2 linked regions of the Arabidopsis thaliana genome follow. The protein of the gene in region 1 interacts with the protein of each later gene in a pairwise test. Each region holds a gene or a part of one and is shown in the gene's direction. Other genes may lie near its edges. The genes, in order: AT3G07090 and AT4G28330.

Region 1 (7,589 bases):
ATCATCTAGACTGTTCTTGTTTCTTTGTCTAGCTTAGTGGCTCTCTCTCTTCATATGGAAGCTTTCGTATAATATAGATCTTACACTGACCTTTTGCTCCTTCGCAGGTTGTTGCTCAAACGATTAAGTCTTGTTTGGATAACCTGCCTGGTTATCCAAGAACTCAAATTGGATTTATTACTTATGACAGCACGTTACATTTTTACAACATGAAGGTAAGAGAATTGTAAACTCACAGGAACTTTTGTTTTGAAATTCTTTAGCCTCCATAATTTTTTTTTTGTGGACTTTGGCAATGCAGTCATCTTTGAGCCAGCCGCAGATGATGGTTGTATCAGATCTAGATGATATCTTTGTCCCATTGCCAGACGATCTGCTTGTAAATCTATCTGAATCTAGAACTGTGGTGGACGCCTTTTTGGACAGTCTACCTTTGATGTTTCAAGATAATTTCAATGTGGAATCAGCTTTTGGCCCAGCCCTCAGAGCGGCGTTTATGGTTATGGTTAGTTACCATCCTGACATATCAAGATAATATCATATAATTCATTTGATGTTGAGTGTCCTATTTAGATCCTCATCTGAAATGTGGATCAGTTTGTTGACTCTGTTTCTCTCCCTATTTCAGAACCAACTTGGGGGCAAGTTACTAATTTTCCAGAACTCATTACCTTCTCTTGGTGCTGGGAGGTTAAAGTTGCGGGGAGATGATCCTCGTGTCTATGGAACTGACAAAGAATATGCATTAAGGGTAGCTGAAGATCCCTTCTATAAACAAATGGCTGCTGATTGTACCAAGTTCCAGATAGGAATTAATGTTTATGCATTCAGTGATAAGTACACTGATATTGCCTCATTAGGTATGTGAACGTTGAGGTTATCAGTTGATGTTTTTTATTTCAGCTGTTTGGAGTCATGGGTGATAGTTAAGTTTATCAGCCTGTAATTACAATTCTTTGGTTTCTTGAAGGGACTCTGGCAAAATACACTGGAGGACAGGTGTACTATTATCCAGGTTTCCAATCATCTGTTCATGGAGATAAGTTAAGACACGAGCTTGCTAGAGACCTTACAAGGGAAACTGCGTGGGAGGCGGTTATGCGAATAAGATGTGGAAAAGGTTTAATAGTTTATGATAATATATTCGTTTTTGCTACCTGCTATGTCAATATTTGCTAATGCATTGGTGTGCTACTTGTGATCTTATATATTTTTGCATGCAGGAATTCGTTTCTCGTCCTACCATGGGAACTTCATGCTAAGGTCTACTGACCTGCTTGCTCTTCCTGCTGTTGACTGTGACAAAGCGTATGCAATGCAGCTATCTCTTGAGGAGACTTTGCTAACATCCCAGACTGTGTATTTCCAAGTGGCTTTGCTGTATCCTTGAATAGTTGATATTTTAAACATACTTGAGTTTAAACATACAACACATCATTTAGCTTTTAGTAATCCTTAACAGAACTAAGATATACCGCCTCTTGTGGAGAGAGACGTATAAGGGTACACACATCTGTTGCACCAGTGGTTACAGATCTTGGGGAGATGTATAGACAAGCAGACACTGGTTCCATTGTGTCTTTATATGCTAGATTAGGTAAGCTATATTCAAATTTTTTTCATATGCTACTTTTGATACTATTTAATGACAATTTAAATTCTGCAGCAATTGAGAAATCTTTGTCCGCAAAATTGGATGATGCACGGAATGCAATACAGCAAAAGATTGTTAAAGCCCTCAAAGAATATCGTAATCTTCACGCGGTGCAGCATCGCTTGGGGTCCAGATTAGTATACCCAGAGTCTCTGAAGTTCTTGCCATTGTACGGATTGGCAATTACTAAGTCCACTCCTCTTCTAGGTGGACCTGCTGATACTTCTCTTGATGAGCGCTGTGCTGCAGGCTTCACCATGATGGCTCTGCCTGTCAAAAAGCTATTGAAGCTTTTGTATCCCAATTTATTCCGTGTTGACGAATGGCTCTTAAAGGTTTGTGTATTTTTATCTCAATGTCCATTATCAAACATCAGTGTTCAAGAAATAGTAAATAATTTGTGAATTCACATGCTTGCAGCCATCAGCAGCCCACGATGACTTTAAAGACGTATTAAGGAGATTGCCGCTGGCTGCAGAGAGTTTGGATTCTAGAGGCCTTTACATATATGATGATGGTTTTCGATTAGTTTTGTGGTTTGGCCGGATGCTTTCACCTGACATTGCTAAAAATCTTCTTGGGGTTGACTTTGCAGCAGACCTCTCAAGGGTATGTATTTTTATCCACATATATCCTTACATATGAATATATGAACAGGCGGTACATTCGATGATGTATATGCATCATTAGTGTTTTTCAAGAATTTGAAACATGATAATATGTGTGAAACCCTTGTCTTTCTTCGTGTTGGGTCTCTTAGGTTACCTTTCAAGAGCAAGAGAATGGGATGTCAAAGAAGCTAATGAGGTTGGTAAAGAAACTGAGGGAGAGTGATCCTTCATATCACCCCATGTGTTTTCTAGTGAGACAAGGAGAACAACCCCGAGAAGGCTTCCTTCTCCTCAGAAATCTCATTGAGGACCAGATGGGCGGTTCGAGTGGTTATGTCGATTGGATTCTACAACTTCACCGCCAAGTTCAACAAAACTAAGATAGCTCACAATGGTAAGGAAAAAACCATCATAATACTTCCAATAACATGCTTAAAGTACCACATCATGTTCGACGCATCTTATGAAGCGGTTTTACTTTCAGACAACTCGGGTGCTAGGATGCCACCTCTTTGTAACCATTGAAGAACTCTTGAGCTCAAAAATCTTCTACTTAAGCAGGATCATGGCGGCCTTCTTCCTTGGGCCATAATGTGTTGTTTTGGATAAAGAAGTGCTACTTTTTGATTTTTCTTCATTTGTTTTTCTATATAGACCTTTTTTCTCAAGATTAGGCTTTTATTTGCCTAACCAGAATGGTTATCTCCGTAAGATTAGTCGTTTTTTAAATCTTTTGTTGCCTTTTTTTTTTGTCCTCATTCGATTTTTTGTTGATGTGCGTCTGTTCTAGATTTATTTTGGGAGTTGCAGTTCATGAATCTGTCCTAATTAGGGTTATTAACAAGAAGATGCTACTGTTAAAATTTTAAAATATTTTTATGAATAAATAATGTTGTGAAAACCTTAGATTTGGATGAAACGCATCGTTGGTATACATCGGTAAAGTTCATACATAAACAATACGGTGATTGATCGCTGTAAGACCAACTGTTCCTGCAATCACAAATAGATAAATTAGGATTTCAATTTTTAACTGCTGTAATTCTGATTCAAAGATTCTGGTCGGTTGAACCGGGACGGGGAAAATAGACGTGGCAATGTCTTATTGGATGGTACTTTCTAGAAGGTTACAGAATAAAAGCGGTCGTCGGTATAGGGGTCAAAGTAGCTTAAACGACGTCGTAGAGGAATCTTCGAATCTCCCAATAGCTTGCCTTTATAACAAACCTCTCTGAACCATTGCTATCCAAGAAATCTTTCAGATTTGCGCATATCGACAATTTTCCGAGCGGCCAGTTTACGTATTTTGTTTGTACGTGATCAAATCTCCCTCGCTTTCTCGCTATCAATTTTATCAATTATGTGTTCCCGATTGTTTCTAGATTTGGATTTTCTATTTGCGGATACTAGTTCTTTTTTGTTCGGAATCGATTATGGATTTGGTCTTAAGATTTGCGGAAATTCTTTTGTAGGTCTGATATAGTTTGTTCGGAATCATTCTTGTTGCTCAGGTCTTAGATCATTGCGATTGTAAATTTTGATTTTGATTTTTTTTTTCTTCAGGTAGTTAACGTGTTTCAAGGACTTTGACAATGGCTGAGGTATGATTCTCTTTTTTTCATTTCTGGTTCGTAGTTAATTGCGTTGCCTCGTTGTTAGTTTGATTGAAATTGGTGATATATGTGATATGGCAGGAAGCGCATAAGGTAACATTGAATGTCTATGATTTAAGCCAAGGCTTGGCACGCCAGCTCTCACAATCACTCCTGGGAAAGGTTATTGAAGGTGTATGGTGAGTCAAATCTCTGTCACATGTTCGTATTTGATCTGTTGTGTTGTATATGCCAAATTTGTTTTGAACATTTGTCCTGTGTAGTGCCATTCATAGGGTTTGATATTATTGTTTTAGCTGTTGAACATGGTTGCAGTTAACCCAATGTAAAAGATATTGGCATGACTGGTTGGTGTATGTAAATGTGTCTAAGCTTCTGCTTTTAATATCAACCGAGTGTGGTTTTCCTTGAGAAATATGAATTAACCTGCTTATTGTTTAGGTGTTTTGCTTTTTACTCTTTTAGGATATTACTTTGATGTTAAACCAGGTAGATAACATGTGAGTTATGTATCCTTTTTCCAGGCATACAGGAATAGTTGTCTATGGGAATGAGTACTTTTTTGGAGGAGGGATACAACATTTACCAGTTGGAAGAACTCCATATGGAACACCAATTCGAACGATAGAGTTGGGTCTATCACATGTGCCTAAAGATGTATTCGAGATGTACTTGGAAGAAATCAGTCCTCGTTACACTGCTGAATCCTACAATTTACTTACTCACAACTGCAACAACTTCAGCAACGAGGTCGCTCAGTTTTTGGTGGGTAAAGGGATTCCTGACTACATTCTCCAGCTTCCTAATGATGTTCTAAACAGTCCCATGGGTGGTCTTATAAGTAAGTCGCTGATAACTTGCGACACCTTCCTTGAACCTCTTCTTTCTCGGCTACATTATTGTTCTAATTTCATATCCCCATTTTGCAGTGCCTATGTTGCAAGGCCTCGAAACAACTCTAAAGGCTGGTGCTGTTCCTCAAGTTCCACAGTTTAGGCCACAGCCACAACCTTTTGGAGCTTTTAGTAAAGATGATGGCCCACAAATTGTGATAGCTCCTAAGCTCGAGGCAGCAGAAACCTCAACTGCAACTGAGAAAGTGCCACCTGTTATTCAACCATCAGCTAGTAAAGAGAAGGTCAAGGACGACCCGTTGGGTGATGCTAGGGCCAAGATTCAGGAAGAGATTACAAGCGAATTTGCAGCTCTAATGGCACAAGGCACATTACGAGCAAGTGAAGCAGCTGCTATGGCGACAAAAAGAGTCATGCAAAAGTACGGACATCTCAATGTAAACGCTTAGTGCAATAACAGAGAGATGAAACATTTTATTTTTACTGTCTTGAAACTAAGTCCAGAATCTTGAACGATTTCATTACACTATTGCCTTCAGCTGTATTTCGTGTATTATGTTCAACGATCTACAAATTAATTATCATAAAAGAGGAAAAGAGCAGTAAACAAGAGAAAAAAAAAAGATTTTACAAGAATTGTGGCTTTTGAATTTGGAACAATTTAGGCTTATACTACAGTCAGTGAAGAATCTACTCTTATGCTATCTGGCACAATCGGAGGAGGATCTGTGAACGAAGTCCCAGGTTCTAACTCAATAGCAGTCTCTTTGGATTTGCAAAACATCTCTGAGGGAATATTAATCCCTGCAAAGCCAACCATAACAGCTGCAGCACCAATGTAGTCGGTGAAGCTTGGTTTGTTCCCTGATAAGCTGTCTACAATGGCTGCCAATGGGACCTGAATAGTTAGCCCAGCTGTAGCTACAGTGGTTGTTGTCAATAGTACTGCCTTTGCCCACAGATAGTCACTAAGCACATTATCTAACAAACCTGCAGTTGTGATGAAACACACATTAGTCTTTCAAATCGGCATTCCTACATCAATCCTAATTTACTACTTGTGCCATCAATTCCCATTGATATGAGAAAATGTGATTTATTGACCAATAGCTTCAAGGAGACAATAGCGGAAATAAGGGATGGTGTTTGCATACCTTTGCCAACAACTAGGCCAAATTGTTTCAAGGTAAGTGCGTTGAAGCGTTCTCGCTTTGTGAAGTTGAGTATTAGAGCAGGAGGAAGGAAAATGAAGAAATTGAAGAGACCAAGAAACCCGAGGAACTGAGCCATACTGACCCGGCCGTTTCTTTCATCATCATCCGGAAGCTTTTTGCGTATAAGAGTGATGTAGACAGCATACAGCGCCGCTGAGACCAGCGAAAGAATATCTCCCAAAAGAGGGTTCTTAGCTACTGCATTTGACTTGGACTCTGAGTCACCCATACTTACAATTATAGTCCCAGACATACAAAGAAGAACGCTGAAGAGTTTCAACCATGTGAACTTCTCACCCAAGAATATTAGTGAAACAAGAAAGGTGAAAAGGCTTGATGCACTGCTTAATATGGTATTTGACTGCAAACACACAAAAATGAAAAAAAAACTTCAGCAAAACATTTAGTAGATTCAGAATAAGCAACAAGATGATGGGTGTCCAATATGTTCTTACCGTAACTGTTGTGTACTTGAGAGAGACATTAAATGTAAGCTGCGCCAAAAACCAAAACGGACAAATCACAAGGCTAACTTTAGCAACTCGCATCCTTGTCCAACGACCCTTCTCATCTAATCCTTTATTAGAAACTCCACTAGCTCCATCACTAACATTGACACTAGCATCAATCTCAAGCTCTATATTTTCCAATCCAGATTCAATCCCATTACCACCCTCACTAATCTCTTGCTCTCTCACAACAAGCCCTGAACTCTCAGTAGCATCTGATTTCACACCAGAAACATCTTTTCCAAGCAAAACAGCCTTCTCTGATTCGACCAGTTCCATTAAATGCGACCTTTTGCTTCTCCAGAACAATAAACTCCCATATGCATCTTCCAGATATCGACCAATCTCAAAAAGGGGAAGATAAACAACGAACAATGAATTACAAATGAAAGTGATCAAGAACGGAGAAACACCAGCTTCCACCACAGACTGGACTACAAAACTAGCCGCAATCCAAATCGTGGCAACGGCAAATAGGTATATCAGCCCTAACACCCATCTCCATAACTTTGTTGACATACCTCTTCGAATCTCAATTACAAAACACAGAACTTGAGCTCACCGATCTCACTGATTAAGATCAATCATACATTTTAACACGAATGCTTCAACACCCATGAATCAAAGATCTCTCTTGCAACGTAAAATTTCTCAAGGATAACAAAAAGCGTAAACGAGAAACGATCGGAACAAACCAATTGATCGGAAAAACAGGACACTACCTTCACAGCGACAGAAATCTAGATCGGCGTCAAATTGTTCAACCAATGGCGATTCAAAAGCGAAATCAGATATTTATTTACCAAAGAAAAAACAAAAAGGTATCGAATTCAGATAAACAGCGCCAATGAGAGAGCGAGAGAGAAGAGAGATTGGCGGATGTGAGTATGAATATGGGCTTTATTATCGGCCCAATATCGTTAAAAACATTTGTAGCCCAATTTTGTTTAATACACAAGACGAAAGAAACCCTATAACCTGAATGTCGTATTAAAGGACTTTCTTGTTCTTCTATTTAGACTTCTTGTAGTTTTGCTGAGTATTAGTCAAGACTCAAGAGACACGAACTCTCTCTAGTCTCTTCAATATTGATCATGCAGCCTCGTCAAAACATAGATCCGGCAAATGATTGGA
Region 2 (6,787 bases), on another chromosome or scaffold:
AGGCCGAGATGCTGAGATGAGCTTGCGGCGGAGGTTTCGGAGAAAGGAAGGAAGACGAAGGCGAAGCCGTGGCCAGGAGAGAGGTGTTTAAAAGGAGCCATGGAGAAGATGAATGATGTGGCGAAAGGTAACGGCGAGGCAGAGGAGGAGGAGGCGTTGATTCTTGAAGGGTAGAGGCCACGTCCGATGGAGAAAGTGGTTTGGTTGGTGAGGGTGAGGATCGACGGTGGAGATTTAACAGTGGCGTTGCCGAGGAGAAGTGTGTTGGTTGTGGTGAAATTGGAGTTGTAGATGAATTCGATGCCTGTGGTTGATCGGAACAAGAGTAGGGATGCGAGGGAAAAGAGAAGAATGGAAACTTTAGAGAACATGATGACTGAGAGAGGTTTTTTCGTAGACGTGTGCCGTTGTGAAGTTTTATGGGAAGAAGAAGAAGAGCTTTGTCAAAAGAGATTTGATTGGTTTGTTCTCGATTCAACGAACCGATTGTTCAAATATATTGTCTGAAACTGGAAAGATCTGTTCCAGAGTCAAAATTATTAAGGAGATAATGTTGTTTAATGTATATATGCTAATTATATGTGTTAGAAATCTGTTTGAACAACAAATGTGGACGAAATAATATCCGCCGTGATAATTTGATCTCTCGTTTATTTATTTTCCTAAGCATTTGGAATTTTGTTTTTGTATATTTCTTGATCCAAGCCACTTGGAATTAATCGTGAAATTGTTGGACTTGGTATTTCGCTGTCCACATTTATAGGTGTGAATAATGATGAACTTATTCGTCAAAAAAGTCAGCTTTGAAATGTCAAATATTCATCTTCTTCTTGATTCTCCTCTTTAATTCTTTCAAACATATCGCACATAACTCAAATTATTCGTCACCTGTAAGCATCATAGTATTAATAGGACCTAGTATATATTAATCCTAAAATCATCATGTCAAATGCCTAACAGTAACTACTTTTTTGGTAGGTTCATTGTTCAATTCAAAAACATTGAAGTTGATATTCTCTTATTACTATGTGCAACAGTGCAAGTATTACTAATCAATCACTAATCACTTTGGTTTATGAAACGGTGCGTTTGGGAGATGTTGACAGTGTGCAACATTGCAAATATTGTTTTACTATTTACCATAACTTTACCAAACCAGACACCGAATGTTACCTCCCTTTTACACTAGGTTAGAACTCTCATTCTTTATGTCTCTCTCTCATTGTTACACTCTCTGTTTTTGTTATTGTTTAGAGAGAAACACAAGAAACGATTTTTTCTTTTTTTTCTTTTAGTTGTCTACATTGTACTAATGGATCACAAGGATAACTCTACAAGACACAATACACATACTTATAGTGGTATTTCACCACAAGATACACATTCACACACTTAACATTCTAGCTTTAAAACTACTCCCACTTAGACATGATTATTCCTAAGGACTAGACTAAAACCACAAGTAACGTTAAACTACTAAACCTTACACCACAACTCCTCTTAACAACTACTCTTTAGCTACTCTAGCTTAGCTTAATTATAAGCACACCATATGCACAAAATCTGGGCTCAACTCTAATAATAGCCCATTTACTAACCAAAACACACAATTACTAATTTACTATGTGGGCTTCACTCTAGCCCAATAGCCTCATCTTTGACTTTCTCATCTCTTCTGTTGACTCTTCTTCTTCGACAACTTCTTCTTCTCCTTTTGCTTTGCTTTTGGTTCTTCTCTTTTCTTCATCTTCTTCCCACTTGAAGCTTTTCTCTTTTTCAGGTTTAATCAAAGTTTCAATTCCAACACAGAATCATAAGAAAATCTGGTGTTCTCAAATATGGCGGATAAGGAAGAACAAGAGACGATGACCTCGTACAAGCTGTTTTTGAGAGTCATAAGCAAGAGGAGAACATGGGTCTGTCTGTTTCTTGTAGTCTACGCGGTCCTTTTGTCTTCTTCAAGAAATTCGTTGAATTCGATAGTGAATTGGTACGGAGAGAATCATCAGACATCATCTGGTTTGCCTGCTATTTACGCGTCGGTTCTTCTTGGTGCGGTGTTCGGAGTTCTATCTATGGCGGCAGCTCTGTTCATCGCTGTGCCAGCGATCGTTGTGATCTGGATATCGGTAGTGGTGACAATAGCGTTCCCCGTAAAGTCGAGGAAGAAAGTGGTGATTGAAGGAAGGAAAGTGACGAAAGAAATTGCTGGTTATGTGTTTAAGGTTCTTCTTAAAGAAGGAAACTTTGTGGCTCTTCTTTGTGCTGTTATTGCTTACTTTGTCTTCTTTAACTCTTATTACTCTTCATCTTCTTGATTCAGTTTTTGCATTTTGTCATTAACGAAAACATTCATAACTAATATATTGACATCTTATCTTATGGTATATGTTGTAAAATAGTACAACACCCCATGCAAGTTTTGGGTGTTGAGTTCGATTCCCTTCTTTGCATGTTTGCGTCTTCTTTTTTTTAAACTTAACATTGATACCAAAAAAAAAGTGTGTATATATTGAAATCTTTCTTCATTATTTGTCCTTTAGTTTAACAAGATTTGATTTCTTGAATCTGAAAATATCGATCTTCTTTGTTGGATTGATGTGTTCTCTGATGATGTCAAAACGAATGCTTCCACGTCACAATACCGACACGTGAAGTTATTGACATTTCTTTTGTTTATTTCTTTGAGAGAGAACACAGATTCTTCTTTTGGTCGTCTCTCTGTTTGTCGGTCATTCTCTGTCTCTTCCGTGGAAGAGCTTCTGAAACCTCAACTATAATATGGGTTTGAAGGCCCATTTGGGCTTTACTGATTACCATCAATGGCTCATTTTCTGTTTTAGTGAAAACGTTAAATACAGTATCTAACTTATAACTTTCTATCAGCTGAATACTTGATATAAATATATTTAAACTATGTGAGATGCCAAATACTAGAGTACGATGATGATAGCCTAGTAATTGTGAAACAGATATATTGTGAATGTGACGACGAAGAAGAAGAAAAATTGTGTAAGGAGTAAGTGCATGTGATTAGGTATGGTCCAAGCTGAAGTTGGGTAAGTAAAAAAGCTTCATAGGTGATGAGTTGCACCAATTCTTCAGAATACAACATTAATAACAAGTGTAAGAAGGTACTCAATCTAAGTCAATGCATAGTTTTCAAAGTAATAATGATGCATATTTGACAAAAAGATACTCCAATGCTCTTGATCCACAATGAGTAATTGAGTATAATTCTCAAACATCTTTAAGTATTGTTACTTTGAATTGGTTTGCTTTGTCTTCAGATATTATTGAATGACATTGGTTGGTAGTTCAAAAGAATAATTGGTCTGCTTGAATGTTTCCCCTTTAGATATACTATATAATAATAAAATTATAATGGTCCAAAATTAGCAGTTATAGCTTATAGGCAGCTTTTATCTCTCTTTTTTCTTTCCTTAACACTAGTAAATTGGATCGCAAGATCTTAGATTGCTAATAACCAACTTTACACTTTGCATTATACAAAATTAACTATTTCCAAAATACCCAAAAAAACTTGATACATTGTTCCTTACATAATAAATTGACTTTTTGGGTGTTAACTTTTAAGAAAAACAGTGTAAGTATTACACAAATTAATCACTAATCACTTTGGTTTATGAAACGGTTAGTTTGGGAGGTGAGCCAAAAGTGAAACTAGAAAAAATGGAAACAGAGCTCTCCAACTGTCAGTTTGCAGGAAAAGGCAAAGACTTTAACTGGACCGCTAATAAAAGAGGCACGTGACAAACACAGCCTAATCAGCAAGAGCGTGTACTTCACGTTACATCAGATTCGACTAGGCTTAAGTATAAACTAAAAAGAACGTACGATCACTTTCCTTTTCTCACAATTCTTCACCGCAAACACTCACCCCAAAAAAGGAATCAGAAGAAGAAAGAAGCTTGTACAAAAGAAGGCTCTTTTACTATATACCATAACTTCACCAAACCAGACACAGAATCATAAGATCAGATCTGGTGTTCTCAAATATGGCGGATAAGGAAGAACCAGAGACGATGACCTCGTACAAGTTGTTTTTGAGAGTTATAAGCAAGAGAAGAACATGGGCCTGTCTGTTTCTTGTAGTCTACGCGATCCTATTGTCTTCTTCATGGAATTCGTTGAATTCAATAGTTAATTGGTACGGAGAGAATCATCAGACATCATCTGGTTTGCCTGCGATTTACGCGTCGGTGCTTCTTGGTGCGGTGTTCGGAGTTTTATCTATGGCGGCGGCGCTGTTCATAGCCGTGCCTGCGATCGTGGTGATCTGGATATCAGTGGTGGTGACGATGGCGTTCGCCGGAAAATCTAGGAAGAGAGTGGTGATTGAAGGAAGGAAAGTGACGAAAGAGATCGCTGGTTTTGTGTTTAGGGTTCTTCTTAAAGAAGGAAACTTTGTGGCTCTTCTTTGTGCTCTTCTTGCTTACTTCGTCTTCTTTAACTCTTACTCTTCATCTTCTTGATTCGTTTTTTTGAATTCTTGTCATTAACGAAAACATTCACAGCTAGTATATTGAAATCTTTCCTCATTATTATTTGTACTTTAGTTTAACAAGATTTGATTTCTTGAATCTGAAAATATCGATCTTCTTTGTTGGATTGATGTGTTTTCTGATGATGTCAGAGAGAATGCTTCCACGTCACAATACCGACACGTGAAGTAATTTACATTACTTTTGTTTATTTATTTGAGAGAACACAGATTCTTCTTTTGGTCTCTTTGTTTGTCGGTCATTCTCTGTCTCTGTCCATGGAAGAGCTTCTGAAACCTGAACTATAATATGGGTTAGAAGGCCCATTGGGGCTTACGGGTTACCATTAATGGCCCATTTTATCGTATATAGTGGAGAACTGTTTTAGTGACAACGTATTAAATACAGTATCTACTAGGCCAGACGATAAATTGTGTTTGAAGGAGGAAGTGCATGTGATTAGGTATGGTCCAAGCTGAAGTTGGTTAGTAAAAAGCTTAAAAGATGATAAGTTGCACCAATTTTTCATAATGTAGCAATAATAACAAGTGTAAGAAGATGCTCAATCCAAGTCAATGCATAGTTCATACGATAATTCTTTTTTTGATAAAAGTTCATACGATAATTCAAAGATATAATTATGAATATTTGACAAAATATGTACATACATTCAATGCTCTGGATCCTTCATGAGTAAATCGATCCTCAATGCTCTTGAATCTTTATCCACAATGAGTAATTCTCAAAAATCTGTTAGTATTGTTACTTTGATTTGGTTTGCTTTGTCTTCAAATATTATCGAATGCCATTGGTTGGTGGTAGTAAATCATGACATGGCCTTCAAAAGAATAATTGGTCTGTTTGAATGTTTCTCCTTTAGATATACTAATACTATATAATAATTAAATGATTATGGTCCAAAATTAGCAGTAAGGCTGCTTTTATCTCTCTTTTTTTTTCCTTTACACTAATTTGATTGCAAAACTAGATGGCTAATACATAACTTTACACTTTGCATTACAAAAAATAGCTAGCAAAATATCCAAAAAAATTTAATACTGTACATTGTTCCTTAGTATTATTAAAATGACTCTTTGGGTGTTAACTGTTAATAAAAGCAGTCACCGACAGCATTCAAAGTATTTTACTTCTGTCTTCTATTTATTTATTATTGTATTTACCACACACACGCATCAAGTTTTCTAATGTCGACAGAGAAAATAGATAGTACTGTTACCCTATATTCTAAGAACTTAACAAAACATTAGAAAAATACAAAAGCGGAGACGACTGTGATGAACAGGTTCACATAATTTAGCATTGTAATTTATACAATTTTGACTAAACAACAAGGATAAAAAGAATCTTACCACAAATGTAATTGTCAAGCCTATCTATGCTCTTTTATCATCATAAACAACGTGGAGAACACCTCAAAAGTGATTTTCAAGAGAACAAAGAAATAAATATGCTACTGAATATGTTGAATTTATGCAGAAGCTAAATATTTTCTATGTAAATGTAATTATTTGATTTGTTTTGTCTTCTCAGAATTAACCTTTGTATGTTCTAAATGAGTTGGGCTCACAATTCACATCACATGATTGAACAATGAACATTTTTTCTCAAATATCTGAAGTTGATGACACTCCAACGCATGTGGCCCTGTTTATTTTTTTTCCTAAGAGATTCAAATGTATTTTTTTTCCTGTGATACTCATCAAAATTAAATTCCTTCTTTTAAAGTTTCCAACAACATATTAGTCTCTTTTAGTTCTAAATCTAAATACCAGGTTAATTCCTGTGCTTTTTCCTCTTCTTTGGTGGGTCAAGTTCTGTTCTTTCCCCTTCAACCATTTTTTTATTTATAAATATCCAATTTTTATGAAGATATTTTATAAGTAATTTCAACTTACGAAATAGAGTGTAAAATCATACCTTGTGTAATTTTTTTTTTTTTAAAACATCACATTATGCCTTGTCCCTTTTGCAAGGTAAAATACAAAAGGGCTATTTCAAGCTATTTTCTTCTTTCACAAAAGAAAATTAGAATTAATAGAAAAATATTATTTTTTTGTAAAAAAATTAATAGAAAAATATAGTAATTTGGGTCCTTTAAGTTTCAGATACAGTGAAACTAAATAACTAATAAACAACTAATATAAATACAAAGATACATAGATCTGTGTCTGTGATTATTCAATTTCTTCTGCTTGTTCGTATCTCCCTTGTTTGCTTAAAGCGTTATTGAGCGAGCTATTTTTTCAAATCTTTGCTAATTT

Evidence for each region.
Region 2: the proteins of AT3G07090 (region 1) and AT4G28330 interact in a protein complementation assay, tested with the Arabidopsis thaliana proteins (one large-scale study listed by BioGRID).

What each region holds. Positions count from the first base shown.
Region 1 is NC_003074.8:2,240,745-2,248,333, reverse strand, and holds AT3G07090 (PPPDE putative thiol peptidase family protein), read left to right. Parts: upstream 1-3,505; 5' UTR 3,506-3,577; exon of another isoform or gene 3,578-3,737; intron 3,738-3,828; 5' UTR 3,829-3,857; coding exon 3,858-3,866; intron 3,867-3,959; coding exon 3,960-4,057; intron 4,058-4,402; coding exon 4,403-4,719; intron 4,720-4,807; coding exon 4,808-5,181; 3' UTR 5,182-5,336; downstream 5,337-7,589. Other genes in the region: ERMO2 (Sec23/Sec24 protein transport family protein), read left to right, coding at 108-215, 302-505, 629-860, 971-1,120, 1,224-1,380, 1,470-1,597, 1,667-1,989, 2,075-2,263 and 1 more; AT3G07080 (EamA-like transporter family), read right to left, coding at 5,400-5,722, 5,887-6,307, 6,402-6,974.
Region 2 is NC_003075.7:14,020,161-14,026,947, reverse strand, and holds AT4G28330 (pyrroline-5-carboxylate reductase), read left to right. Parts: upstream 1-3,642; 5' UTR 3,643-4,019; coding exon 4,020-4,496; 3' UTR 4,497-4,668; downstream 4,669-6,787. Other genes in the region: AT4G28350 (Concanavalin A-like lectin protein kinase family protein), read right to left, coding at 1-371; AT4G28340 (pyrroline-5-carboxylate reductase), read left to right, coding at 1,839-2,318.